Sus scrofa: one gene and its partners. The protein of the gene in region 1 purifies or fractionates together with the protein of each later gene. This does not show direct contact. Links are inferred from orthologs where the notes say so. Each region holds a gene or a part of one and is shown in the gene's direction. Other genes may lie near its edges.

Region 1 (3,500 bases):
CTTGGAGCGGCTCAAGGAAGCTTACAGGTGAGGGGTAGACAGGTTCCTATGGGGAGGTGACAGGGAAGAATGACAGCATCATCAAGAGTCCAAAGAAAGAAGGCTTAGCATCAGTCCTTTCTGGGGTTGGCTTCCTCTTGATTTTCCCATTCACCTTTTCTTTTGCCTTGTCAGTGTGAAGTCCCGGTTAAACCAGTCTCAGAGGGAAGAGCTGGGTCTGATCGAGCAAGCTTATGACAACCCCCATGAGGCGTTGTCCCGCATCAAGCGTCACCTTCTCACACAGAGAGCCTTCAAAGAAGTGAGTGAGATGCCCTCGACATTTTGTTCTGGCTGCGTGATTCATCCCTGGCACCCAGTGTGGCAGGTTGTCTCAGGTGGTTGGTGGGTTGGTGTGAGCCAGCTTCTGTGTCTCGCAGGTAGGCATTGAGTTCATGGATCTCTATAGCCACCTGGTGCCAGTGTATGATGTGGAGCCCCTGGAGAAAATCACTGATGCCTACCTGGACCAGTACCTCTGGTACGAAGCTGACAAGCGCCGCCTTTTCCCGCCCTGGATCAAGCCTGCTGACACAGAACCGCCGCCTCTGCTTGTTTACAAGTGGTGCCAAGGTAAAACTTTTCTGGGATCGCACCTGAGAACGGGAGGCGCATTGAGTTCTGCTATCCAGGCAGCAGAATTAGCTTACTTTCTTGCTGCATAGTAGCAAGGAAATGGTATTGATGCTAAACTGAGCAAAGCTGACTCTCCTGGCAAGCCAGCGAATGAATGGAGTGGCATGCGATCGGATTACCGTAGGCACTGGTCCTGAAAGGGAATTTCTTTCTTTCTTTTTTTTTTTTTAAAGGGCTGCACTTGCGGCATATGGAAGTTCCCAGGCTAGGGGTCGAATCGGAGCTACAGCTGCCAGCCTACACCACAGCAACGCAGGATCAGAACCACGTCTGTGATGTACACCACAGCTAACAGCAACGCCAGTTCCTTAACCCACTGAACAGGGCCAGGGATCGAATCCACAGCCTCACGGTTACTAGTTGGATTTGTTTCTGTTTTGCCACAACGGGAACTCCCTGAAAGGGAATTTCTAACCTGCTGGAGCCCTGTCTTGCCCCCTCCTCAGGCATCAATAACCTGCAGGACGTGTGGGAGACAAGCGAGGGCGAGTGCAACGTCATGCTGGAGTCACGATTTGAGAAGATGTATGAGAAGATCGACCTGACCCTGCTGAACAGGCTGCTGCGCCTCATCGTAGACCACAACATCGCTGACTACATGACTGCCAAGAACAACGTCGTCATCAACTACAAGGTGTGTTCCGGGGTCGGGGTGGGGGTGTCCAGCCTGCCGAGCTGGGATTTGCTGAGGTGGGAAAGGAAGAGGCTGGGCCCCGGAGAAGCCTGGCACGCTGCCGTGGTTGAGTGTCCTCTTTCTTTCTAGGACATGAACCATACAAATTCGTATGGGATCATCAGAGGCCTGCAGTTTGCCTCGTTCATCGTGCAGTACTATGGCCTGGTGATGGATTTGCTTGTGTTGGGCTTGCACCGGGCCAGTGAGATGGCTGGGCCCCCTCAGATGCCAAACGACTTTCTCAGTTTCCAAGACATAGCTACTGAGGCTGCCCACCCCATCCGTCTCTTCTGCAGATACATCGATCGTATCCATATTTTTTTCAGGTGAGGGCTTGCCTGGTTTCTTATCCTTGCAGGGCACTGAGGCATGTGCCCAGCCTCTGGAAGTGGCTGTCCTGCCTTAGTTGGCTTGCTGCTGGGTTGGGGCTCTAAAATGGAAGGAAGTCTTCTGAGTGGGAAGGGGCGGGGTGGCCTCCCTCTAGGGAACTGTAGGTCGCATGAGATCCCAGTGTGCTTGGGCCTCAGCAGGGCGCATTGTCTGGTGCAGGTTCACGGCAGATGAGGCTCGGGACCTAATCCAGCGTTACCTGACGGAGCATCCTGACCCCAACAATGAGAACATCGTCGGCTACAATAACAAGAAGTGCTGGCCCCGAGATGCCCGCATGCGCCTCATGAAGCATGATGTTAACTTGTGAGTCTAAGTTGGGGCTCTGGGAGCGAGAAGGATGTCAGCCTGAGGGACCCGGAGGACAATTAGAGGGACTTTAGGAGGTGGTCTTCTGGGTAGGAGGATGTACTCTGTTGGGCTGTCGTCAGTCTGGCCTTTGCAGGGAAGTGCCTTCCAGGGGACTGGTGTGACCCATGTTCTCTGTGGGCAGGGGTCGGGCAGTGTTCTGGGACATCAAGAACCGTCTGCCACGCTCAGTGACTACAGTTCAGTGGGAGAACAGCTTCGTGTCGGTGTACAGTAAGGACAACCCCAACCTGCTGTTCAACATGTGCGGTTTTGAGTGCCGCATCCTGCCAAAATGCCGCACCAGCTATGAGGAGTTCACCCACAAGGACGGGGTCTGGAACCTACAGAATGAGGTAGGGCCTGGGCCAGGGGGCGGGGGAGCCGGGAGGAGCATTACCACCTCCCGGTAGGTGGGAGTGAGGAACTGCACACACTTTTTCCTTTTTTTTTTTTCATTTTTGGCTGCCCCATCACACATGGAGTTCCCAGGCCAGGGATCAGCTCTTATCCATAGTTGTGATCTGTAGCGCTGCTGTGGCAACACTGGATCCTTTAACCTACCGTACTGGGCTGGAGATTGAATCTGTGTCCTGGCACTGCAGAGATGCCGCTGGTCCTGTTGCACCACAGTGGGAACTCCCAAATACCTTTCCAGTGTCAGTCGGATGAGCCTGGTTGGGGGAGTAAGGGCTTAGTGATGGTCAGCATTGGTTCTTGGCGTTCCCACTGTGACTCTGCCGGTTAGAGACCTGACGTGGTCTCTCTGAGGATGCGGATTTGATTCCTGGCCTTGATCAGTGACTTAAGGATCCAGTGTTGAGCTGTGGTGTAGGTTGCAGATGAGGCTTCAGTCTGGCGTTGCTGTGGCTGTGGTGTAGGCCAGAAGCTGCAGCTCTGTTTCGACCCCTAGCCTAGGAACTTCCATATGCCATGGGTGTACCCCAAAAAGACAAAACAAAAAATTTCTTCTTCCTGTGGCAGTTCCAGAGATAGTTAACCTTGACCTTGTGGTTTAGGTTACTAAGGAGCGGACAGCTCAGTGTTTCCTGCGTGTGGATGATGAGTCAATGCAGCGCTTCCACAACCGTGTGCGTCAAATTCTGATGGCCTCTGGGTCCACCACCTTCACCAAGGTACGTAGTGCAGTCATGTTCTCTGTCCGTCTCACATCCCGTTTAGATCCTTGTGCTTTGCTCTCCTTTCTTGCCAGCTGTGCTCAGTGTAGTCTCCGTGCTTTATGTACAGCAGCAATTTGTTAACTGTGTGTGCTTTAAGTTTTTGCAAAGTTTTAAAAATAGCCTTGCTTTTAATGCTGTCTTCACGTTCCACCAATGGTACACATGAGTGTCTGGACTGATGCTCTCAGGAACATCAGTCACGCCAAAAAGAGAGGGAAATGCTAGGTTTT
Region 2 (3,500 bases), on another chromosome or scaffold:
ATCCAGAGACCCTAAACTAGCCAAGCAGGGGCTGAGGTCAGGGAGCACCTCCCTTAATGAGTGATGCTTGATCCGATTCAGTCAGGGTAGAGGAGAGAGCAGGCTGGACCCAGGGACCTGCAAAGGTCTAGTGACAGAGCTGGGACAGTGAGGTACAAGCAGTGGGGAGGTGGCACTGGAAGATCAACAGGGGCCAGAACATGTCCAGGTTGATGCCTGCCCTGTGCTCTGTGTATGTTCTTGCAGCTCTGGGGGACAAGGCGGACTTCTTCCTTCAGCAAATAATTTCCATGCACCAAGTGTGTGCCCGGCCCTGGGAGCAGGGCTATGAACAAGACAGACGCAGTCTCTGGCCGCTTGAGCTTGACTGTGTAATGGGATCAACCCACCAGCCTTCATGGGCGACAACTCCTGCCTTCAGGGAGGAGAGGAAAGAACTGTTGCGTGTGGGGTGGGCAGGGGGACAGAGGAGGGGTTGCTGAAAGCTGGGACCGCAAAAGCTCGACTGACGCCTCTTCCTCTGACACCAGACAGCCACAACCAAGGTCCCGGAAATCCGCGATGTGACGAGGATCGAGCGTATCGGTGAGTAAGCGTGGGTCAGGGACAGGATCTAGCCCCTGCCTGCCCCCTGCCCCCTGCCAGAGCCAGTCTACCTGGGACCCTTGGAGGGGGGCAGCCTGCACACTCCCCCACCCCACCGTAAGGAGGGAGGCCTTAGTCCCAGATGACTCAGAGGTGGGGGGGAACCATGTCAGGCCCCAACCCCAAGCTACCACTGCTGGCTGGGCTGCCCTGATGGGCCTCCCGGGTGCCCCAGCATCCTGCTTGGAAATCGTGAAAGGGGGTTTTTGCTGAGATCTTCCAGGGGTTGGCCCCGCAGCGAATGTCCCATCCAGCCAGCATACGCTGGGGCTTCAGCTCTGAGAGGGCAGGGACCTGGCTCCTTCCTAGCAGTGTCCCCGGCACAGGTCCTGGCAGGCCAGAGGCTCCACAGGTCACCACTGAACACGGGAGTTTGCATCCTTTGAATCCTTGGCGTAGCCCTGCAGTGTTCCTCCTGCCACCGTCATCCCATTTTTAGCTGAAGGGACCAGGACTCAGTGACGCAATCAAGCCCCTGGTCCCAGCTCCCCGGGAGCAGGAAGTGGGGGTGTAGAGGGTTCAGCAGGGTGTAGCCTTTGCAGAGAGCCTGCCCTGCAGGGAGGAGACCACTCATTCATTCGTTCATTCATTCCTTCATTCCTGTTCGTTCACTCATTCATCCACAGCTTCCAGGAGAGGTAGTAATAAGGGCCTGGGGTGATTACTGAGCCCCAGCAGGGCTCCAGGCTGATAATAATAGCTGCGATTTGTGTTTCTCCAAGTCCCAGGTCCCGTGAAGTATGATTAGAACTTGGGAGGTCCCTCAGGCCACCATGTAGCCTAGGAGCCACTCTGTTTACTGAGCATTGACCGTGTCTGGCCATCATCCCAGTGAGGTGGGGACGTGTGTGTTGGGGGGTGAGAGGGGACCGTGGCCAAGGCGGACACCAGCACTGGGTAGGGGCGCCCCTCCCCTCAGGCCACACATGGCCACCAGCGAGCTGGCCTGTAACCAGTTGAGCTGGCCGGTAACCGCCTCTGCTTCCTTCCCCGCACACAGGCGCTCACTCCCACATCCGGGGGCTGGGGCTCGACGATGCCTTGGAGCCACGGCAGGTAGAGCCCAGGGGGCCGTGGTGGGAAGGCTGCTCCCTGGGGGCCTGGGGTGGAGGGGACCCCAGGGGTTGTGGGGACTGTGTTCTGACCTTCTAGACCTTTGGCTGCATGTCTGTAAAATTTCCCCACGCGTGGAGTTTTATTTTGGTCTTTCAAAAAAAAAAACAATGGGGGTGGAAAAGGCTGTTTTGGCTTTTTTCTGAAGTCTCAGCCACCAGCGTCTTCTTTGAGCTCACTAGCCTGGAGGCTGTAGAAATGCAGGGGTAGACCTGTAGCAAGAAAGTCCCCTGATGTGCTCTGTCACCTCCCCGCCAGGCTTCCCAGGGCATGGTGGGCCAGCTGGCGGCCCGGCGAGCAGCCGGCGTGGTGCTGGAGATGATCCGCGAAGGGAAGATCGCCGGCCGGGCGGTCCTCATTGCTGGCCAGCCAGGCACCGGGAAGACGGCCATCGCCATGGGTAAGGGACCTCTCGGGGGGAGAGCGCGCCTGGTCTCGCCAGGTGGTCCCTCCCGTGAAGGTCAAGGTCCGGTTCAGCCACATTCAACAAGACGGCAGCAGCTTCACCCCTAAGGGTTCCTTCTCTTACTGGAAGATTCGGAACATAGGCCAGCTCGGGCTTGTCGAGCAGTCCCATGGAAGCTCCTGCCTTCCTGCCTCAACATGCGTTGCATGTCGGGGTCACCTCATGTTGCAAGAAGGTGGCCTACACGCCAGCCTTCGCACCCATACTCCAAATAGAAGGAGAAGGAGGAATTGCAATGAGGGTGTGCCTCCTGGAGGTGGCTCCCTTTGAGCTGCTGTCTTAGGCCTCCCACACACGGCTGCTCATACTTTATTGACTAGAACTTAATAGCCACACTCTGCTGCCCAGGTGAGTGAAACATTAAAATGTCTTTGAGGAGTTCCCCTTGTGGCTCAACAGGTTAAGAACCTGACATAGCGTCTGTGAGGATGCAGGTTTCATCCCTAGCCTCACTCAGTGGGTTAAGGATCCGGCGTTGCCGTGAGCTGTGGTGTAGGTTGCAGACACGGCTCAGATACCGTGTGGCTGTGGCTGTGGTTTAGGCCGGCAGCTACAGCTCCGATTCCACCCTGAGCCTGGAAACCTCCATATGCCGTGGGTGCAGCCCTAAAAAAAAAGAAAAGAAAAGAAAGAAAATGGAAAAAAAATACTGCTGTTGGTCAGTCAGTGTTTTAATATTTCCACAGTTTCACTGTTGCACAATTTCGTAACGGCACCCATTCTTTGTAACTGTTAGTGCTTTAAAGAAATATTTCAGGTGTCATTAGGATTGTTGCTGCCAGTGATATGCGTAAATGGCACTTGAAATAAATATATTGTGTTAACTCTAAAAACAAAAAAAAAAAAAAGAAGGAAAATGGAAAAAATAAAAAGATCACTTGGTGCTAAGTCGTGACGCTGGGATTCGAACCTAGGCCGTTTGACTCGATTACCTTCTCTTCTAGCCCCTTGGCCTCTAGGCCCTGATCATTAACCCTAAGCCCTGAGAGGCTGGGAGGCAGGACTGGCCAGATGCCAGAGTCGTGGTGCTTGCGCTCTGGGCAGCTCGGGGCTCGAGCCCTCCCGCCCCTGCCCGCTGGCCTCGCTTTCTTTCCATCTCCCTGTCTGCACGCAGCACCCAGCCCCTCTCCTTTCTTCCTGCCTGAGGAAGGAGGAGCTGGCTCGCCCCGGAGTGGCTGTTTGGTTCCTGGGGCCTGGGCGGCCCCACTGACCCAGGCTGCCCCACCCCCCGCAGGCATGGCACAGGCCCTGGGCCCTGACACCCCGTTCACGGCCA
Region 3 (4,177 bases), on another chromosome or scaffold:
CAAAAAATGAAATATCCTAGACAAGTTGATATTTAGCAATTGTCACAGTTTATCAAATTGCTAATAAGGGATCAGCAAGGTAATAAAGCTTATGCTTTGGGTATGGGAATGATATGGAAATTGATGGGTTATATAGTTGGGATACAGAAGATTTACATAAGCAACTAGTTTAGTGGGGGAAGAAACTTCCTAACTAGGTAAAGAGTGCAGTTTGATTATATAAAGTAACAAATGTCATAGTCAAATCTGCTGTTACAGAGGAAACATGGATGAGGATAGTTTGTGATGCTGAGCATTGGCTGTCAATCAGAGATTAAAAGTCAGGAGTTCCCTGGTGGCTCAGTGGGTTAAGGATCTGGTGTTGTCACTGCTGTTACAGATCCCCCTGGGGTTCAGTTCCTGGCCCTGAGAATTTCACATGCTGTGGGAATGGCTTAAAAATACAAATTTTACAACACAGATTTCTTACCATTGTGCTGCAAATATTTTTTTAAAAATTACAAAGGATGGCAAAAAAATATTTAAAAAAATAACCTACATGAAATTCATTAATATCTCTACTTTTCACTTGTCTCTGCTAATTTAATTACGTATGGCTTAAAGTCTATTAAAAGAAGTCGCAAATCTCCTTTTACATATTTGTATTTGCCTTCGTCGTTTTTCTTGTAATTGCATCACTGTTGTGAAACCATTTTCAAGTAAATACTTAGTTGGAAATGCTACAAGTAATCTAGCTCTTTCGAAGAAGTGAATATGCAAATCCCTAAGGCCCAAACTTAATCAGATTAATTTAAATGTGTTTTGGCTTTAAAATCTTTCATTTATTCACTTAAACTTAATGAACTCTTCTACAAATGTTGCTAACTGGGCCACTGGTTTCCAATGTCTTAATCTCCCAGAGATGTATTGTAAATCCAACTCTTTTTTTATTGGCTACATTCATGGCGTATGGAAGTTCCAGAACCAGGGACTGATTCCGAGCCGCAGCTGTAACCTATGCTCTGCGCTAGTTTTGAACCCATGCCTCCTCAGCAACCTGAACTGCAGCAGTCAGGTTCTCAACCCACTGCGCCACAGCGGGAACTCCCAATCCAACTATACCTTTAAATCTAGTCAACTAATTAAAAAGTAAACCAAAAAAGAAAAATTTTAAAACCAGTCCTTTAAGGATAACTTCCCCTCCAAGAAAAAGAAAGGATTCTATAGGAGCCGGTGCCTATGTTCCAACTCTCGACAGAAGAGTTGAAGCTCCGCCCCTCACGTACTCCACGCCCCTCTTCCGTACAGACCGCGCCCAGAGCCTGCGTCTGACGTCGAGCGGAAGTGACGTATAGGGGCCGCCGGAGGTGTCGTTGGTGCGTTGCGCGGCTGGGCCTTAGAGTGGAGTGAGGCCTGCGCTCAGGAAGCTAGAGCCATGTCGATCGAAATCGAGTCCTCGGAGTGAGTCCTGCAGTGGGAATGTTACCGAAGTGGCCGGGGCCGGGAGGCAGAGGGTTGCGGGGGTGGGAGTGGGAGGTGGTGGAAGCTGCTCGGGGGAGGCGTCCGAGAGGCTGGGGAGCGGAGGGGCATTTCCTTTCCTATAAAGAAGCTTTTGGGATCTGGCTACCTTGGAGGTGGACCTACAGAGAGGTAGCAGATGAGAAGCCCAAAGCCCTGTGGAAGGTGGCGCGGGGCTGGGGGAAGGAGACTCCTGGAAAACCTGAATTCTAGCCCTCGCCAACTTCTGCTGTACCTTGTAACTGAGCAAATTAGCCATCCTATTTGGATTCCGGTCTATCAGCACAAGGGGGCTGGGCTCGACGCCATCCATCTCTTCCCGTCCCCATCGAACACCGTGGTGGTTTCCTCCCTGTGCGTGCACCGTCCTTTGCTTTCTTCTGCACAGCTTTTGGTATCGTCACCGTTTTTCTGCCCATCCTACTAACCTGTATAGCTCCTAGGGACTCGTTTGCATTATAGTCCCAATTCCCAGCCCATCGTAAAGGCTCAATAATTGCTTTTAGAATGAATGAACGACTATTTTATCAGGTTCTGTCTGGCGCTGAATTTTATTTAGCGTGTGAGCTCTGTAGTCACAAAGGAGGGACAGAATTTGGAGATTGGGCAAGGAGAATGATAAATTTGGGAGAGAGGGGGACTAACGAATGATTGAAGAAAGTCTTCAGTAAACTTCTCCAGGACTCCATCCTCCACCTTGTTCTTGCCAACGCTTAGTAGTTAAGTCAGCAGACAACATTTGTGTCCTGAGTGTAAAGGAGAGGACTTGTCCTGAAGATCTGCCATAGGAGGAAGGGAGGTTTATTCATTTAGCAAATACTGAGATCTACTGTGTATATTTGTTCTAGCCCCTGGGACTGTAGTAGTGAACGAAACAGACAATAACCCTTGCTCTTAGGGAAAGTACATTGTGATGGGGAAGGCAGACAGCAGACAAAATCAGTAAGTAAGATAGCTTAGCAGATGGCTGTAAGTGTTGTGGAGAAAAATAAAGCAAAGATGGACAGTGAAGACAGTTATGGCAGGAGTTGGAAAGGAATCCACCCTTTGGGGCCTGAATAAAATCGGGCACTGACCATCCTCCCAGCCTTGGCTGCAGCATGTTTTTGTGATCAGTAATTGCTGCTATTTACTAAGTATTCTCTATGCTAGTTACACTATGTGTTGTAGTCAATCCCTTTGATCAATCCTACAGGGTAGGTATTTTTCTTAACAGATGAGGAAACAGGCAAAGAGATGTTAATTGACTTGTCTGCAAGTCACAGTTAGTGAAAGAACTCTGATTGAAATCCCAGCCTATCTCCAAAGCTTTTAGCTCTTTGTGTATTACATTGTGTTTGAAGGAAGTGAATTTGATTTTGGTTATATCAAATTTGAGTTCTTTGCAAGGATGGAGTCTCATATTAGGAGTGTAAGTGGAAGTGTCCTATGGAAGCCAGGGATTGAACCCGAGCCACAGCAGTGGCAACCCCAAATCCTTAGGCCATCAGGGAACTCCTGCAGGAACTGTTTTTAAGAGGGTATTTGGGGAGTTCCCGCTGTGGTACAACAGGATTGACATTGTCTCTGCAGCACCAGGACACAGGTTCAGTCTCCATCACAGTGGGTTAAAGGATCCCATTGCCATAGGTCACAGCTGCAGCTCCGATCTGATCCCTGATCTACAAACTCCATATGGCTCAGGGCCGCCAAAAATGATAAAAAAAAAAAAAAAAAAGGTGTTTGCTTTCCTGTCTGGGATGATGCTACCTGCCACACTGCCAGTTTGAATCTTTTTTTTTTTCCATTTACCTCTGTTACTTGGTCACATCCTCACGTAAAATGGACATAAGAGTAATGCCATCTTTATAGGTTTTTGTTTTGTTTTTTGCCTTTTGTGCTTTTAGGGCCCCAACAGCAGCAGCATTTGGAGGTTCCCAGGCTAGGGGTCTAATTGGAGCTACAGCTGCCAGCCTATACCACAGCCACAGCAACACCAGATCCGAGCTGCATCTGCGATCTACACCACAGCTCACGGCAACGCCGGATCATTAACCCACTGAGCAAGGCCAGGGATCGAACCTGCAACCTCCCGGATTCGTTTCCACTGTGCCATGACGGGAACTCTGGGTTTGTTTGTTTGTTTGTTTTTTTAAAGGCAGTACCTGTGACATATGGACATTCCTGGGCCGGGGATTGAATCCGAGCTGCAGCTGTGGCAACGCTGGATCCTTTAACCCACTGCACCAGGCCAGTGCTGCTGAAACAACCTGAGCTGCTGCAGTTGGATTCTTTTTTTTTTTTTTTTTCCTTTTTAGGGTGGAACCTGAGGCATATGGAAGTTCCCATGCTAGGGTCAAATTGGAGCTGTAGCCACCAGCCTACACCACAGCCACAGCCATGCCGGATCTGCGCCAAGTCTGTGACCTACACCATAGTCACAGCAACGCCAGATCTCCCACCCACTGATTGAGGCCAGAGATCTAACCTGCATCCTCATGAATACTAGTTGGGTTCGATTCCTCTGAGCCATGCTGGAACTCCTGCAGTTGTATTCTTAATCCACTGCACCACAGCAGGAACTCCCTCATAGGGTTGTTTTGAGGGTAAATGAATCCAAAATGCTTAGAATAGTCCCTGGTATATAGTAAACACATAATAAACATCAGTTGTTACTTTTTGATTATTGTTTCTCTCCTGG
Region 4 (3,500 bases), on another chromosome or scaffold:
TGATGTTGGTACTTTTGAAAGGGCTTTTGTTTCCAGTCATATCATACACACTGTATTTTACAAAGGTCATAGCAATGAGACGAGATCTACTCCTGTCAGTGGATTTTCTCTGTTCTGCATGCAAATGTGATGCTGTGGTATTTTAAAGGACTGTAGGGCTCGACAGCAAACTTGTGAAAGAAAAACGGGTATTGTACCACCTGTGAAATAACAGGACACCACCACCGTGTCCTTGAGAAACCACAAGCTGAGGTTCCACCAGTGCCTCCTGCGGGAGTGGGACCCTCCCCAAGGAAATGGTGCCCGGCCATCCCAGAGGTGTTGTTCCTGGCTCTGTAGATGCTTGCTGCTTACTGTGTTCCTTGCTGCCTTCTGCTGTGCCTGGCTTTTGACCGCCAAGTCGATTTGTTGCCAATTAACCCTGTAAATCCTTTTGTCTTGTTATTAGGCTGCACTTTGGCGTAAATTGCAATCGATTAGGGATCGTTTCTCAGACTCAAGTTAGAAGTGAGAGTTCAGATAAGTGAGGCCGCCATTGCTGCTTTGAACACCTCAGAAGGGGAGAATGGATTTATCAGGAGTGAAAAAGAAGAGCTTGCTAGGAGTCAAAGAAAATAATAAAAAGTCCAGCACTAGGTAATCCTTCCTTCTGTCAGATTTTTCTAGTGCTACTTTGGGGGTACTCGTTGCTAGGGACCGTGAGAAAGGGGGAACTTGGAAATGTCTTGCATTTTACATGCAAGTGTCCTAAGCCACAGATCATTGTGCTCTGTGATTGCCTGGGATTTCTGTAGCCCTTTGGATCCCCTTTCGGGTGGTGCTGTTGCTTCAGGGTCCAGTCACCAGGGCCTGCAGTCTCACGCTCTTCCTCACCGTCCAGGGCTCCTTCTCCTACCAAACGCAAAGACCGCTCTGAGGAAAAGTCCAAGGACCGCTCTAAAGATAAAGGGGCCACCAAGGAGTCGAGCGAGAAGGACCGTGGCAGGGATAAAACTCGGAAGAGGCGCAGCGCTTCCAGTGGTAGCAGCAGCACCAGGTGGGGCTGGTGGGTTAGAGCACTGCCAGGGCCTCGCTTCCGCAGCCGTGTCTCTCTTCCTGCCCAAAGAGCCCAGAGGGCACTCTTGTCTCTTTCTCTCTTTTTTTTTTTTTTCCTTAAAGTCTAGTTGATTTACAGTGGTGTGCCAATTTTTGCTGTACAGCAAAGCGACCCAGTCCCATATATGTATATATGTATTGCCTTTCTGGTATCATTTTCCATCCTGGTCTCTCCCAAGAGGCTGGATATGGTTCCCTGTGCTGTCCAGTAAGACCTTATTGTCTGTCCATTGTAAATGTCATAGTTTGCATCTACTGACCCCAAGCTCCCAGTCCATCCTTCTCCCTCCGCCGCACTTAGAGTGCGTTAATTATGTTAGAGAGGACACTCGGGTTATTAATGGAGACCCTGATTTGTGGCAAACCTGATTATATATAGAAAATGGTGTTGGGATTTTTTTTTTTTTTTTTTTTCCTTTCTTGGCGATGTTAGGGAATGGGGTGACTAGGGGCATGGTTCATCTCTCAAGTGCTTTTTTTTTTTTGTCTTTTTGTCTTTTGTTGTTGTTGTTGTTGCTATTTCTTGGGCCGCTCCCGCGGCATGTGGAGGTTCCCAGGCTAGGCGTCCAGTTGGAGCTGCAGCCGCTGGCCTACGCCAGAGCCACAGCAACGCGGGATCCGAGCCGCGTCTGCAACCTACACCACAGCTCAAGGCAACGCCGGATCGCTAACCCACTGAGCAAGGGCAGGGACTGAACCTGCAACCTCATGGTTCCTAGTCAGATTCGTTAACCACCGCGCCATGACGGGAACTCCCTCAAGTGCTTTTGATTTGGGGTTGTGATCAGATTCCCCAGCCTAGGGAGTCTTTTCCATCCATTGAAACCCAGCCAGAGTCAGTAGCTGGTTTCCAGGCTGAATTGGTGCTTCTGACTTGCCGGCCTCCTTTACAGGCGTGGCTTCTGTGTGGGTAGAGAGGGGCTCGCTCTTCCTTTCCTGTCACTGCACAATCCGCATGCTGTTTTCTGTCCCTGCTGAGGGCGGGGAAGGGGAGTGTCAATGTTTCCCCTCCGGGGACGCTTGAAAATACATGGGCAGAGGTCTCCTCTCCAGAGCCAGACCTGCTTGACGGTGCTGTGGGGAGTTGCTCTTGCTCTTCCACCACCGTTGTCGGGGCCCCTCCCTCTCGCCCTCAGGTCTCGGTCCAGCTCTACCTCCAGCTCAGGCTCCAGCACCAGCACGGGCTCCAGCAGTGGCTCCAGCTCGTCTTCGGCATCGAGCCGCTCAGGAAGTTCCAGCACATCCCGCAGCTCCAGCTCCAGCAGTTCCTCTGGCTCTCCGAGTCCTTCTCGGCGCAGACACGACAACAGGCGGCGTTCCCGTTCCAAGTGAGCTAGCTCCCTTCCAGCCTGGAGCTTGTGAATGATTAAAGTAGAGCAAAAAAGGAATCTTCTTGCCTTAGTAATCAGAAGTCTGGGCCAGGGACAATGTGCATGAACCGGTAGAACGCTGTCACACGAGCCGTTAACATCCCCACTAAAAGCTTGATGTCACAGATTGTTGCTGATGTTTTATTTTTTCCATCAGGTCCAAACCGCCCAAAAGAGATGAAAAGGAGAGGAAGCGGCGGAGCCCTTCCCCTAAACCCACCAAAGTGCACATCGGGAGGCTCACCAGGAACGTGACCAAGGTGAGGAATCCTGCTTCTGTCCAGTGGACAGTGGGCTGTGTTACTTGCAAAGTTTTTAAGTGGGAAACTGGAGAAGGGGGCCTCTGCCAGAAGGGGAACTTGACCTGTCGCGTTTCGAGGGGCTGGCTGCATGGCGCGTGACTCAGGCAGCGCTGGTTGATTCCCTTGGATGGGATACAGACGTGACGTGCCTCTGGGAGGTTTACCCCCGGGTGCGAGGCTGTGGTCACTGTGGCGCCTTCTCTGACTCACAGTGCCTGGCGGGTGGGCCCTCGAGTGACCTTCTTTCTCCCAGGATCACATCATGGAGATATTCTCCACCTACGGCAAGATTAAGATGATCGACATGCCTGTGGAAAGGATGCACCCTCATCTCTCGAAGGGCTACGCCTACGTGGAGTTCGAGAATCCAGATGAAGCCGAGAAGGCACTGAAGCACATGGACGGAGGTGAGTAAGCCCTGTCAGCTCTCCTCTGACCTGCCTTCTCTGTCCCCCGTCCAAGACCAGGACCTGTCGCACCTAGTGTGGTGAGAACCGACGTCCAGCCTGGCTGAATGTGAGACTCCCTGGGGCTCTTTCAAAATTCCAGTTCTCCCTCGTGGGTTTGTGTTTACCAGAAACATATTTTATGGAGTGTTATTCTTTTGGGGAAAAATTCATGAAATAATGACTACAGTAGCCTTTTAAGAACATTTCAATACCTTAAGAGCATATGGGTGAAATGAAGGTTTTTGTTTTGTTCAGTATAAACATCATGACTGTAATGAAGCATG
Region 5 (4,020 bases), on another chromosome or scaffold:
CCCTGAGAACAGTATCCTGTGAAAACGGAGACGAAGATGGGGTGACGCTTCTACAAGATAAGAAATGCCAAGGGTTGGAGTTTCTGTCACGACCCAGTGGAAAGGAATCCGACTAGGAACCATGAGGTTGTGGGTTCAATTCCTGGCCTCGCTCAGCAGGTTAAGGACCCGGCATTGCGGTGAATTGTGGTGTAGGTCACAGAGGCTTCTCAGATCTGTGGCGTAACCCAGCAGCTGTAGCTCCCATTCGATCCCTAGCCTGGGAACCTCCACATACCTGAGGTGCGGCCCTAAAAAGACAAAAAAAAAAAAAAAAAAAAAAAAACCAAAGCCAAAGACGCCCCAGAAGCTGAGAGAAGAGGCGTGAGACAGAGATGATTCTTCAGAAATACACAACTCTGCGCCCACTCTGATGTCAGACTTCTTGCCTCCCGCCCTCCTCGCTGCAAGCTCTGCCTGGGCCCCACGGGGAGGAGCCAGGGCGAGTGGGGCTGCTCGGGACAATGGACTTTGTCGGTAGAGATGCAAGAGGGGCCGGGGCGGGGCCGGGCAGCTTGGCCGCAGTTCGCACTCACTGATGGAGAAGCCGCTGGGCTCTTCCTGGGTGACTCTGCAGTGTTCCAGCAGCAGGGCTCCGACGGGCTGAGGGCAGATGGACGCGTAAGGGGCGGTGCGGGGAACCCTCCAGCCACCCAAGCCCGTCCCACGCCTCAGACCCCGGCCCCGCCCCCTGGCTCCGGTCCCCCCCCACGCCCTCGCCCCGACCCCCTACCCCCAACCCCGCCCTCCCCAGCGCCTAACCTCTGCCTCGTCCGTCCGGAAGTAGAAGAGGAAGTTGACCACCAGCTTCACCAGTCTCCGCTTCACCACTACGGGAACAAGGAAGGCTCGCGCGAGTTCGGTGGCTGCCCAGCCCCGCCTGCCGCCCGCTTGGGCGCCCCGGGCCGCTCACCGCTTCCTTTTTTCGGGCCCCTCATGCCCAGCTCAGCCGCCATCTCGGCCGGCTGCCGGGAGAGCGCCTGCAGCTCCTTCTCGTTAAAGCGCATGGCGCCGCCGGGACCCGGAACGCGGAACGAAAACCGCGCCTTACCGGCCGCCGTCCCCACTCGCGCCGTTGCCGGCGCCAAAAGAGTCCCACCGCACCGTTCCGGAAGCGCAGCCCGGGCAACTACGCCTGCGCGTTCTGCGGCCGCTCAGCCTGTCAATCACTGGTGCGTGTCAGTACAGTGCTGGGAGCCGCCTGGATAGAACGTGAACCCTCACGGGGCGCACGGGATAGTGAGCAAGGTGGACGGTTGCCATATACAACCATGCAATAAGGTGGCCCGCCACGACCCATGGCGCCCTTAACTGAAGCGACCTGGAGCATGCGAAGTGGAGGTGGGGCGAGACGCAACTCGCTATCCCGCGAGAGGTGGCCCCGCGAATTAGGCCCACCGAGAGAGGGTGGGGGCCGACGCGCACGCGCACTTCGGCTTCCGGCCCACACTCCCGGCTCGCCACTCACCTCCAGCATCCGGAACGTCTGCCCCGCGCCGCTAGGCGGGCTGGGCATGCGCACACGGAAGGCCCCGCCTCGCCTGCCCTCGGAAGTGCTTCCTTAGCCCTTGGCGCGCGTGCGCCTGTCGAAATTGTCGCGGCGGCTGTGGCGGCAGAATAGGCGGTTACGGTGGAGTCTGAATAGACTACGGCAGTGAGGCCGCGCAGGCGAGTCAGGAGCGGCGAGGGGCTAGGGCGGAGACCCCCGGGAGTTCCCTGGAGGGGAGAGGGCGAGGGGCGGTCGGCGGGGGCGCAGGCTGAGAGTGGGTGCCCGCTCCCCGCCCTCTCGGAGCTCGGGCCATAAATGCCGGTCCGGTAGGGCGGCAGCTCCCGAGGCGCTTTCCGTGTGCCCCGGCAGTCGCCCGTTGGTATGCTGGCCATGTGGTCTGGGAGTCACCTGGTTTCTGTAACGGGTGGGGGTGACGGCGAAACTCCTGGCACCGCACCCGAGGCCACCAGGGCCCGTTAGCCAGGCCCGTTTGGCAAGCGGTGCCACAAAGTTAAATGATTTCCCCACCTGTCACACTAGGTGCCCGATCGCTTCTTTTTTCTGTTCTTTTGTCAGCTCAGAACTACCAAGAGCAGCTTTGTAAATAACGTTATTCTTTTTGGCTGCGCCGGGTTTGAGGTTTCATTTCTATCTGCCACCCACCCTCTCCAACCTCGCCCTCCATATTCTGAATGTGGATATCGTGAGTTTTGTCAGATCGTGTTTTATTTTTTAGGGCTGAAAATAGTATTCGCTGTTCAGGCAAGCAATGTATTCAGCTGTATTGTTTTTCTTACGCTGTTTTTCCTATCGTCCTCCAAAGCTAATTAATTTCTTCTTTTCCTGTTAGCCTGATTTTCTTTGCCTGTTTTTTTTGTTTGTTTGTTTTGTTTTGCTTGTTTCTTTCTCAACGTGTCATTACTTCACACACTGATTAGTTGTGTTTTCCCACAGATTTAAACAAATGGATGGCTTTTTCTTTCTTTTTTTCTTTTTTTTTATGGCCGCACCTGCAGCACGTGGAAATTCCTGGGCCGGGGTCGAGTGGCAGCTGCAGCTGCAGCCTGTATGGCAGCTTGATGCAATGCCGGATCCTTAACCCATTGATTGAGGCCAGGGAGTGAACACAACCATCTTCACAGAGACAATGTTGGTCCTTAACACAATGGGAACTCCCACAGATGGATTTCTTTTTTCCTTTCTCCCATGGAAATTTCCCTCTTAAAGCTGGCCTAATCCTGCTTTTGGGACTGGAGCCCCCACTTTGCTTCTGAGTGGTTGTCCTAGAACCTTCTGTCCAGGTTACCCTGGTCTGGCTTTAGTTTTCAGTCTGACCATCTTTTTCGTTCCTTTTATCAGAGCATAAGGAGTAGTTTTTGAAGAGGTCAGCTCATTTATTTATTGTGAGTTCTCAGTTAACTGAAAATGGCTTTAATTTACCCCCACAGTCAGAAGTTTGGAAGTAGGAGTTCCCATCATGTCTCAGCTGAAACAAACCTGACTAGCATCCATGAGGATGCAGGTTCGATCCCTGGCCTCGCTCAGTGGGTTAAGTGTCTGGTGCTGTTGTGAGCTGTGGCATAGGTAGCAGATGTAGCTCAGATCTGGTGGTGCCCTGGCTGTGGTGTAGGCCAGCGGCCTCAGCTCCAATTCAACCCCTAGCCTGGGACCCTCCATATGCTGTAGGTTCGACCCTTAAAAAACAAAAATAAAAAAGTTGGGAGTAAAATTCTGGATTAAAAATCCACAGTAGGGAAGTCCCCATTGTGGCACAGAGGGTTAACCCGCCTAATATCTATGAAGTGGGTTAATGATCTAGCAATGCCGCTAGCTACTGCGTAGGTCAGAGATGCAGCTCAGATCCCCCTTTGCTGTGATGTAGGCTGGCAGCTGCAGTTCCACCTCGACTCCTTGGCCTCTGAACTTCCATATGCAGGTGCAGCCCCACCCCCCCCAAAAAAAGAAACCCTCAGTGGGAACTGTGGAATTATAGCATGTTTTCTACATTAAGTGCTGTTCTGAGGGATCTGATCCTGTCCTGATTTCTCATTTCAGTTCTCATTTTTTTCCTGTCTAGTAGAAATTTAAAGTTTTTTTTAGTGTTGTAAAATTTCGTGATCTTGAGAGTCTTTTTGTTTGTGTCTGTGTTAGGACCTTTTTTAACTTTGGAGTTCTTATGTCATTCCTTTGATAATATTCTCCACATTTGGTTCTGTTTTTGGTCCAGGGTTTCTTGCTTTGCCTCCTTTTGTTTTGTTGTTGGTTGTTTTTCATTTTTCTGTTTTGTGTGAAAGCTTTATTTGGCTGACCTTAGAGCACTTGTGTTCAATTTTTTGTTTGGATTATCATGTCTTTTCTTTTAAAGGGTCTGCGTGGTTTTGATTCACCAAACTCACTCTTGGCATGCTATTCAGGTTTCATGGTGCAGTAACATCTCCCATGATCTTGAAGAATATTATTCTCCTTCATTGAGGTTCCACTGGTTTTTGTTG
Region 6 (3,500 bases), on another chromosome or scaffold:
ATGTATGTCCAGGCCATCTTCTTTCTCCCCTGCCCCCAGTGAATCCTTAGAGCCGTGGTTCTCAGCACAGCCTTCACTTTACAGACAACTGGTGAGTTTTTAAAAAAAGTTATTATAGTGTCCAGTCTCTGCCTCAGAACAATTACTCGGAGTAGGGAAGAGGAGCTACATGTGGCTGGTATTAAAATTGTTTGCTCCTGTATGATTCTACATGTGCTGCTGGCACTGAGAACCACTGATCTAGGATTAATCCTTTTCTCTATAGGCTCCTTTACATATGAAGTATGTGTGTGCCTGTGCATTGAACCCAGAGAAGACTTGGGAGAAGGGAAGTGCTCCGCTATAGTGGACAGTCATAAAGTAAATACCTAAGTAGCTTAGATCCGTTATTTGATGGTTGTTAATATAAGTTTATTGATATGATTTTGGAAATAATTCTTTCTCTAATTTATATATCAGACTGACATAATGAGAAATGAATTTGAAAGACTGGCTGCTCGACAACCAATTGAATTGCTCAGTATGAAACGGTAAGTTCTATTTCTGCATTCAGATGCCCTCAAATCATAGTTTAATTTTAAATTATTAGTCAAACTACTGTAAACTGTTAAATATGGAAAAACAATTCTTGTCTGTTTTTTATATATTTATATTTTTCTGTATAAAAGTTATAATAGTGGTTCGTGTAATCACGTGTTAATATTCAGAAATATTCTTTGCACCGTTATTTTAATACAAAAAATATTTTAAAATACCTAACAGGGAAAGAGTAAATTAAAACACAGTTCACGTTTAAGAGTTCCTAAGGGGGGATTTCCCTGGTGGTCTAGTGGTTAGGACTTGGCGCTTTCACTGCTGAGGCCAAGGTTCAATCCCTGGTCTGAGAACTGAGATCCCACATCAAGCTGCTGCAAGCTGTGGCGCCCTCTGGCCCCCTCATCCCCCAAAAAACTCAGAAATTAAAAGTTAGTTTGTAGTAATTCAGTACTGAACAGAGATTTATGAAGAGGTTATGTTGCCGGCTATATTGGCAGTATTGAAGTAGTATGAAGATAAAGACTGAGTTCCAAATGTAAAAAATTACTGTATCCCTTTACCATTTTTTTTCTCTAGAAGGAGGTGGGTAAGTGGCAGTGAGAGTGGGTGGATATAGGTATGTTTTACAAAATAACTTCATATCCTGCTTTTTTTCCCCTTAAGATATCACAAACATTTTAATGTTTTAGGTATTCTTTAGTAATGTTTAATAGCTATTATAATAATCATTTATATGAATGCACTGCAGCTTGTTTAATCAGTTCACATTGAAGTTTGTCAATTGCTTGTTTCTTAGGATAAATAGGTTTCTTATTATTGCAAGGTCTGCAACCTAAGTCTTCTGTAGTTTTCAATGTGTATAGGTCCATGATCCTGTTGGGAGGAGACAAAAGGTTTGGAAGAATAATGTGATTTTATTTCATTGTTGTTTAATTTCAGATATGAACTTCCGGCCCCTTCCTCAGGTCAAAAAAATGACATTACTGCATGGCAAGAATGTGTAAACAATTCTATGGCTCAGTTGGAGCATCAGGCAGTTCGAATTGAGAATCTGGAACTAATGTCACAGCATGGATGCAATGCCTGGAAAGTATATAATGAGTAAGAAGCTTTTTTTTTTTTTTTTTTTTAAACCCATCCCACCCATAGTCTTGCTAGGGGAAGTAGGATTAAAAATAGTATAACTGGACTTTCACTTGGATTATGTCCTAGAACTAGAATTCATATAAAAGGCTACTGCTTTGAGACCCATCTCAACATTTGAGAATACTAAAGGGACCTAAAACTAATGCATTTATTGTATAATATTGCAATAGTGAGTTCTGAGGTCTAGATTTACAAATCACAGCATGGTAGAACGTAGGGGATTGCTTATACAGTCAGCTCTCATTAGTTGCATGTTCTGCTTTATAAAGTGGCCTTGAATACTGAATTAGCAAACAATGAGCCAGTTCTCCTGGGAGAAATACATACATATGTAGATATACATATCTCTCACATAGATTATAATCTTAAATACTTTAAAGCAACTTATCATGGCAGGTTCTATATTTTCTTTATAAAAGAGAGGACAAAGTTGAGAAGTGTTAAGTAATTTACCAGAGTTGGAAATTAAACTCTTTCCTTTGGTCATGTCTGTATGGGACCTGAAACAAGAAGGCAGAGTATCACCTTGTTCCACTCTAGCTAGAAATGTTCATGTCCAGCAACTCAGTTTTTTTGCTGCTCTGAGCATGAATGATCACAAAACACTGCAAGTGTTGATTTTAGGTTACAGAAAAATTTGAATAAATAGGCAAAAATTCACAGATACAGAATCTGCAAATAATGAGACCTGACTGTAAGTAGAGAATTAACACCAGCAAAAAAATCCCAAAACAAGCCACTGAGTTCCTATTTCTGTTCCATATAATTAGCTTTAGGTTTTGTTATTTATTTAGGGTTCAGTTCCTATTTGTAAGTCAGTGCTTAGATGATCTCCATGGCCCCTTTGGGCCCTAAAATCCCAAGTCTCTATTAACAGTTTAAGGAGAAAAGGCCGTTGAACCTCATGAGTGTGCATAAAACTGTTAAAGAGTATGATTCCTGAAACTGTAAAGCAAAATTGCAAAATGATAAAAACCTTTTCCCAAATTTTCAGAATTGTGTTTAAATTTCTGTGGCCATATAGAGATTTGTGGGCAAAATCCAGCATTTAAGAAGCTACAGAACAATTCACTTTCTACTGTGAATATATTACAAGCAGAATAAAGGGGAAATGGGGCTGGAAGGATTAAGAAATATAAAAGAGCAGATCATTCCTAAAAATGCTTGTATTTTACTAAGTGGAAAAATGTCCTCTTTATCCTCAAGAAGCTTTATCTAGTTGAGGAGACAATATATTCTGTGGCAGATAACCACTAGTTCATTTTGGTGATACGGGGGCAACTGCTGCATTGCATGTTGTGGTCCATAAAGTACTGAGATCCAAAGAAGGGACATTTAGATCCCACATAAAAGTGATTTCATGCAGTATTTGTCTGACTTATTTCACTAACCTTCATATTCTGTAGAGCCATCCACATCACTGCCTATGGCAGTATTTCATTCTTTTTCCTGGCTAATACTCCACTGTATGTGTATATGCATAGCACATCTTAATCCTGTCACCTGAAAGGCATTTGGGTTGCTTCTATATCTTGCCTGTTGTAAATAGTGCTGCTATGAACATTGGGGTGCATGCATCTTTTTGAATTTAGAGTTTTCATTTTTTCCAGATAATTGCACAGCAATGGAATTGCTGTATCACACTTTTTTTAGTTTTTTAAGGAACCTCCATACTGTTTTCCAAAGTAGCTGGACCAATTTACATTCCCACCAACAGTGCACAAGCGTTCCAGAAAAGAGTGAGCACATCCCAGGAATGGAGGAGGGCATAGATTTCAGGGTGGGCCTGGAATATTACATTGAAGAGAACATTGCTT
Region 7 (4,129 bases), on another chromosome or scaffold:
CTGGATCCTTAACCTGCTGAACCACCAGGGAACTCATGGAGAATGTTTTGATGCTTCATCTGCAAATGTTAAGGGAGATCTTAGAAGGTACTAGTTGCCAAGGACAACCTACAAAGGTAAATGCCATTGCTGGCATCCAATCCCCTGGCAACTCAAGGTCCCAGATGCAAGGCCTAAATTAATAAACAACTCAGTAATAAAATTCTCTGTAATCTTTGGGAGCCAAAGATCGACCTCAGAAAATATTCTTTATACTTAATTTGTTGATGTTTTTGGTGTGTACATTATCTACTACAAAACATTTGCAATCCATTTATGTTAGTTGGGTTTCCCTTATCATGAAAACTTCCTGATTTAAGCATCCTGAGAGAGATAAGGAAACAAAGGATTAAGGTATTTCCCTGATGATTTTATTCCTAGTTGAAGAGAGCAAACATGGAGAAAATAAGTTAATGAGTAAATACGTTCCTCTGTTTAACTTAAATGTTTTAATCTGTGTTACTCTGGTTGTAGAAGAAACAGAGTTTTAAAGGGATTAATCACAGTGAGCTAGAAGAGTTAGGGGAAAAAAAGGGAAGAGGTGAAAAATAAGGATGTTAGGTACGATGGGGCCTGATACTTTACTGGTCTGGCTTCTCTGGAACAACCCCAGCTTGAAATATTTTGTATTGTTGCCTCCGTGAGAAGCACTGGAGTTCAAAAATTTAGCAGTGACTACTATAATAGTTAAGGATATAAATTACTCCGAAGACTATGAATACAAAAGGTTATCCAATTTGAGCAAAAAGAACTTTACAGTTTCTATTTATTAAACTAGTTATTACTGAGCACTTGATGTGCCAAGTACTTCATTTAGCGGCCTGAGCTGGCCAGGCAGGGTTCCCGCCTTCACCGAGCTTACTTCTATTTAGGGGATGTTAACCTTCGAGGAGCCGAATCACTACAATACCTACTGAACAACTATTGTGTGCTGGGTACTGCCCTAAGCCGCCTTCGCAAGCCATCTCATTTATTTTATTCTATTTTTTAAGCCATCTCATTTAATCACCAACAACCCTATAAAGCTACCACCTAGGATTTCCAGTTGTGTCTTTGTGGGGCACCTCATCTACCACAGGTCCCTATGACAGAAGGTGCAAAACATTCTCCAAAAACATGCGGCAGGCCCCTCCTGAGGAGGCCTCGCGCCAAAGGAGGAAGCTCCGCCCCGGCGCCGCTCTAGGGCGCGGCGGATCTCCCAGGCGACTGGACGCTGCCCGTCGCGTGGTTGCGGCAGCTCCGCCCCTCTTCCGGGCGCCCTTGGCCCCACGCTCCCCTTCTGCGCATGCGTAGCACACTGACTCCGCCTCCACAGCGTAGCGGTCGGAGCCATTTCGCCGCCGCCTCGGTGCGAGTGGTGGTGCGCTCGTCTGGTCTCCGTCGCTAAGGCCCGAGCCAGGGACGTTCCTGAGAGAGCTGTGCTCTCGGGCACAAAGAATCGGACTCCGGTAAGGGGAAGACGTCTTTGTTACCGGTTGGGACGGCGTAGGCCCCGGGGTTCTGCAGCGGGTCTTTGTTGCCTGGAGCTGGCGGCGGTGGCGGGTGGGGGAGGGGAGAGCCGCCTCGCTGGGTTCCCGGATTGCGGGTTGCGTGCTGCTTGCGACGCCGCTCCGCGCTTGCGCTGCCTGAGGCCGCCATTTGGCCCCCAGTTATTCGCGGAGGCAGGCCTAGTTTCGTCTCCGGAGCGGCCAAACCCCACTTCCTCTTCCAGCCTGCGCTTGGCGGTGGCGCTGTCGCCGTAGAGTGAAAGGGACTGAATCGGCCCGGGGTGGGGGGAGCTAAGCCCGCCAAACCGCCGCCCACGCTTAGGGCCCTTCGTTCGTCCACGCAGGCCTGCGTGCCGAAAATAGCGGGTGGTACCCTGCGGCCTCTGCGGATAGAGCAGAAAACAGGCTAGGCACAGTCCTTGCTCTTTTCTCTCAGAGGTTGGGGTCGTGGTGGGGGTGGGGAGCCGTGTGGAAACAAGTGCTGGTTTCGGTAAAAAAGCTCTTGGAGGATTTAGTGTAAAGGAAGGGCGCCATTTCCGGAAGGGTGGCGCGAGGGAAGGCTTTTCGGAGGAGGCAGACATTTGAGCCGACGTCTCGCCCAAAGGGTGGAGATTATCGACTACTAAGATGTGGAAGAAAAGCAGAACTCCCCAGGCGGAGGGGGATTAGTTAGTGTTTACTGGCAGGGATTAGAAAGAAACTGAAAGAAGGCCACGTGACTGGAATGTGGTGAGAAGAATTTAAAAGAAGATTGGATTTTAGCGTGGTTACAAAGGAAATGGGAATTATTTAGGACCTTGTTGCTGAACTCCAGCTGTTGCAGTAGTGGGAGAGGGGAGGGAAGCGAACAGATTGGAATCATGTTTGGAGGCGAAAGTGAGCCTTAGGTCAAGAGTAGATCAGGACTACCTGGGTTGGAATTTTGGGTCCCCCAATTAGAAGCTCTGTCTGTTGAGGCAAATTATTCTTTCTCTCAGTTTACTTACCTGTAATAATGCTTAGCTATACAGTGTCGTGTATGGGTTAAGTGAAGTAGTTGCTGCAATGCTCCTTAACGGATACTGATTGGTACATAATAAAGACTGCAACGGATGGTTATGGAGGATGTTGAGGGACTGGATAAGTCCCAAATGGGTGATAGGAGTAATTTGGTGGATGGTTGTGCCGCCTAAGGAGGTGGGAACACTGGGATTAGAGGGAAGAGGAACAGGTTTAGGGAGGAAATTTAAAATTGTGTTTTAACTGTGATGCCATGTTAGCATTCAGGTGGATACATAAGTGCTGCAGATGGATGAACTTGATTTTGGAGCTTTTAAAGAGAAAAGACTAAACTTTCAATGTATATTTGGATAGCATTAGTCTATAGTTAATATTTAATATGATGGCGTTAGATAAGACTAGGGAGGAAGGAATTTGATAGTATAGTCCTTATTTCATGTTTTCCATTCACCCTGAGGGCTTGTTTTTAAAATTAATTATTCATGGTTGGAATTTGTAGGTAGACATCTTCAGTTTTCCACAACTTTTCATGAATCGGTTATCCCCAGGGTTAACCTGTGACTACAGAAGAGCCTTTTTGTACTAGGGTTCAGTTTGATGAAACTAGATGTAGGTGCTAACAAAATGCACTAAACATTAACGGAAGACAGAGGCTTAATGGGGTTTCTTCCCACATCACAGCAAACAATTCTTAGCATATTTTCTCCAGTTCTGAATTTGGTCTCAGATCCCTCTGCGTGTAATTTAGACTCAGGATCCGTATCTTTTGCTATAAACTGATGTAGAGGGAGAATGCCAATCACTATGATAGGTTGCACTTAAGGAAAATGTAATAGCCTCAAATTTAATGAGTAACAAGGCCTAAAGGAAAGATTTAGCACAGAATATATTTGGACTTAATAACATTGCCTATTGCTGTGCAGATGGTCTTCTAGGAGACATAATCCAAATGAGGATAAACTCTTGGATTTATATACAAAATGATGGAAGGCTGTTTCTCCATTTATTTATTTATTTAGGCTGCCATGAGGTATCTGGAGTTCCCAGGCCAGGGATCATATCCGTGCCCTAGTTTTGACCTAGGGCACAGCTGCGGCAGTGCCTACAGTGCCGGATTCTTAATCCACCCACGGTGCTGGGCCAGGGATTGAACCTGTGATCCCAGTGACCACAGCAGGAACTTTTTTTTTTTTTTAATTAAGTTTTAAAGGAGTATAGTTGATTTACAATTTGATAATTTCTGCTGTACGACAGAATGATTCAGTGATGCATGAAAAAAAATGCACCCATTCTTTTTCAGATGACTATTTCTTAATATATTGGTTTGGTTTTGAATTTAGGCCTTCTACAGTGAGTAACTTGAAAAAGTTACTGAAACTTTCTATGTCTAGTGTCTTGCTCGTAAAAAAACTGTAAAGTAGAAGCTATAGTTTATAGTGTTACCTACTGTTGTGAGGATTAAATTAGTTAAAACACATAAAGCGAATATTGTAAAAAGTAGGACATTACATAAAATGTCTTTAAAGAAAAGACGAAAATCGCTTGTAGATATCTAAAGATAACCATTTGGGAGGATATTTCTTTTCCAGTCTTGATTTATACAT

Evidence for each region.
Region 2: the proteins of PRPF8 (region 1) and RUVBL2 purify together in Homo sapiens (affinity purification with mass spectrometry; 3 studies listed by BioGRID and IntAct, with this or other methods). This does not show direct contact. The link is inferred for Sus scrofa from reciprocal best matches to the Homo sapiens genes PRPF8 and RUVBL2.
Region 3: the proteins of PRPF8 (region 1) and SMU1 purify together in Homo sapiens (affinity purification with mass spectrometry; 3 studies listed by BioGRID, with this or other methods). This does not show direct contact. The link is inferred for Sus scrofa from reciprocal best matches to the Homo sapiens genes PRPF8 and SMU1.
Region 4: the proteins of PRPF8 (region 1) and RNPS1 purify together in Homo sapiens (affinity purification with mass spectrometry; 3 studies listed by BioGRID and IntAct, with this or other methods). This does not show direct contact. The link is inferred for Sus scrofa from reciprocal best matches to the Homo sapiens genes PRPF8 and RNPS1.
Region 5: the proteins of PRPF8 (region 1) and SF3A2 purify together in Homo sapiens (affinity purification with mass spectrometry; 3 studies listed by BioGRID and IntAct, with this or other methods). This does not show direct contact. The link is inferred for Sus scrofa from reciprocal best matches to the Homo sapiens genes PRPF8 and SF3A2.
Region 6: the proteins of PRPF8 (region 1) and BCAS2 purify together in Homo sapiens (affinity purification with mass spectrometry; 3 studies listed by BioGRID and IntAct, with this or other methods). This does not show direct contact. The link is inferred for Sus scrofa from reciprocal best matches to the Homo sapiens genes PRPF8 and BCAS2.
Region 7: the proteins of PRPF8 (region 1) and DHX9 fractionate together in Homo sapiens (co-fractionation; 3 studies listed by BioGRID, with this or other methods). This does not show direct contact. The link is inferred for Sus scrofa from reciprocal best matches to the Homo sapiens genes PRPF8 and DHX9.

Annotation. Positions count from the first base shown.
Region 1 is NC_010454.4:47,881,787-47,885,286, reverse strand, and holds part of PRPF8 (pre-mRNA-processing-splicing factor 8), read left to right. Parts: coding exon 1-27; intron 28-174; coding exon 175-301; intron 302-419; coding exon 420-612; intron 613-1,121; coding exon 1,122-1,309; intron 1,310-1,438; coding exon 1,439-1,677; intron 1,678-1,900; coding exon 1,901-2,047; intron 2,048-2,234; coding exon 2,235-2,445; intron 2,446-3,108; coding exon 3,109-3,225; intron 3,226-3,231; exon of another isoform or gene 3,232-3,500. UniProt on the Homo sapiens protein: Plays a role in pre-mRNA splicing as core component of precatalytic, catalytic and postcatalytic spliceosomal complexes, both of the predominant U2-type spliceosome and the minor U12-type spliceosome.
Region 2 is NC_010448.4:54,253,504-54,257,003, forward strand, and holds part of RUVBL2 (ruvB-like 2), read left to right. Parts: intron 1-246; exon of another isoform or gene 247-530; coding exon 531-585; intron 586-1,645; coding exon 1,646-1,701; intron 1,702-2,016; coding exon 2,017-2,158; intron 2,159-3,458; coding exon 3,459-3,500. UniProt on the Homo sapiens protein: Possesses single-stranded DNA-stimulated ATPase and ATP-dependent DNA helicase (5' to 3') activity; hexamerization is thought to be critical for ATP hydrolysis and adjacent subunits in the ring-like structure contribute to the ATPase activity.
Region 3 is NC_010452.4:33,398,006-33,402,182, forward strand, and holds the start of SMU1 (WD40 repeat-containing protein SMU1), read left to right. Parts: upstream 1-1,377; 5' UTR 1,378-1,414; coding exon 1,415-1,440; intron 1,441-4,177. UniProt on the Homo sapiens protein: Involved in pre-mRNA splicing as a component of the spliceosome. Regulates alternative splicing of the HSPG2 pre-mRNA. Required for normal accumulation of IK.
Region 4 is NC_010445.4:39,742,058-39,745,557, forward strand, and holds part of RNPS1 (RNA-binding protein with serine-rich domain 1), read left to right. Parts: intron 1-448; 5' UTR 449-565; coding exon 566-636; intron 637-880; coding exon 881-1,036; intron 1,037-2,231; coding exon 2,232-2,423; intron 2,424-2,622; coding exon 2,623-2,725; intron 2,726-3,020; coding exon 3,021-3,174; intron 3,175-3,500. UniProt on the Homo sapiens protein: Part of pre- and post-splicing multiprotein mRNP complexes. Auxiliary component of the splicing-dependent multiprotein exon junction complex (EJC) deposited at splice junction on mRNAs.
Region 5 is NC_010444.4:76,403,662-76,407,681, forward strand, and holds the start of SF3A2 (splicing factor 3A subunit 2), read left to right. Parts: upstream 1-1,220; 5' UTR 1,221-1,707; intron 1,708-4,020. Other genes in the region: PLEKHJ1 (pleckstrin homology domain-containing family J member 1), read right to left, coding at 576-642, 802-869, 953-1,046. UniProt on the Homo sapiens protein: Component of the 17S U2 SnRNP complex of the spliceosome, a large ribonucleoprotein complex that removes introns from transcribed pre-mRNAs.
Region 6 is NC_010446.5:105,995,558-105,999,057, forward strand, and holds part of BCAS2 (pre-mRNA-splicing factor SPF27), read left to right. Parts: intron 1-459; coding exon 460-530; intron 531-1,476; coding exon 1,477-1,638; intron 1,639-3,500. UniProt on the Homo sapiens protein: Required for pre-mRNA splicing as component of the activated spliceosome. Component of the PRP19-CDC5L complex that forms an integral part of the spliceosome and is required for activating pre-mRNA splicing.
Region 7 is NC_010451.4:124,140,600-124,144,728, forward strand, and holds the start of DHX9 (ATP-dependent RNA helicase A), read left to right. Parts: upstream 1-1,329; 5' UTR 1,330-1,487; intron 1,488-4,129. UniProt on the Homo sapiens protein: Multifunctional ATP-dependent nucleic acid helicase that unwinds DNA and RNA in a 3' to 5' direction and that plays important roles in many processes, such as DNA replication, transcriptional activation, post-transcriptional RNA regulation, mRNA translation and RNA-mediated gene silencing.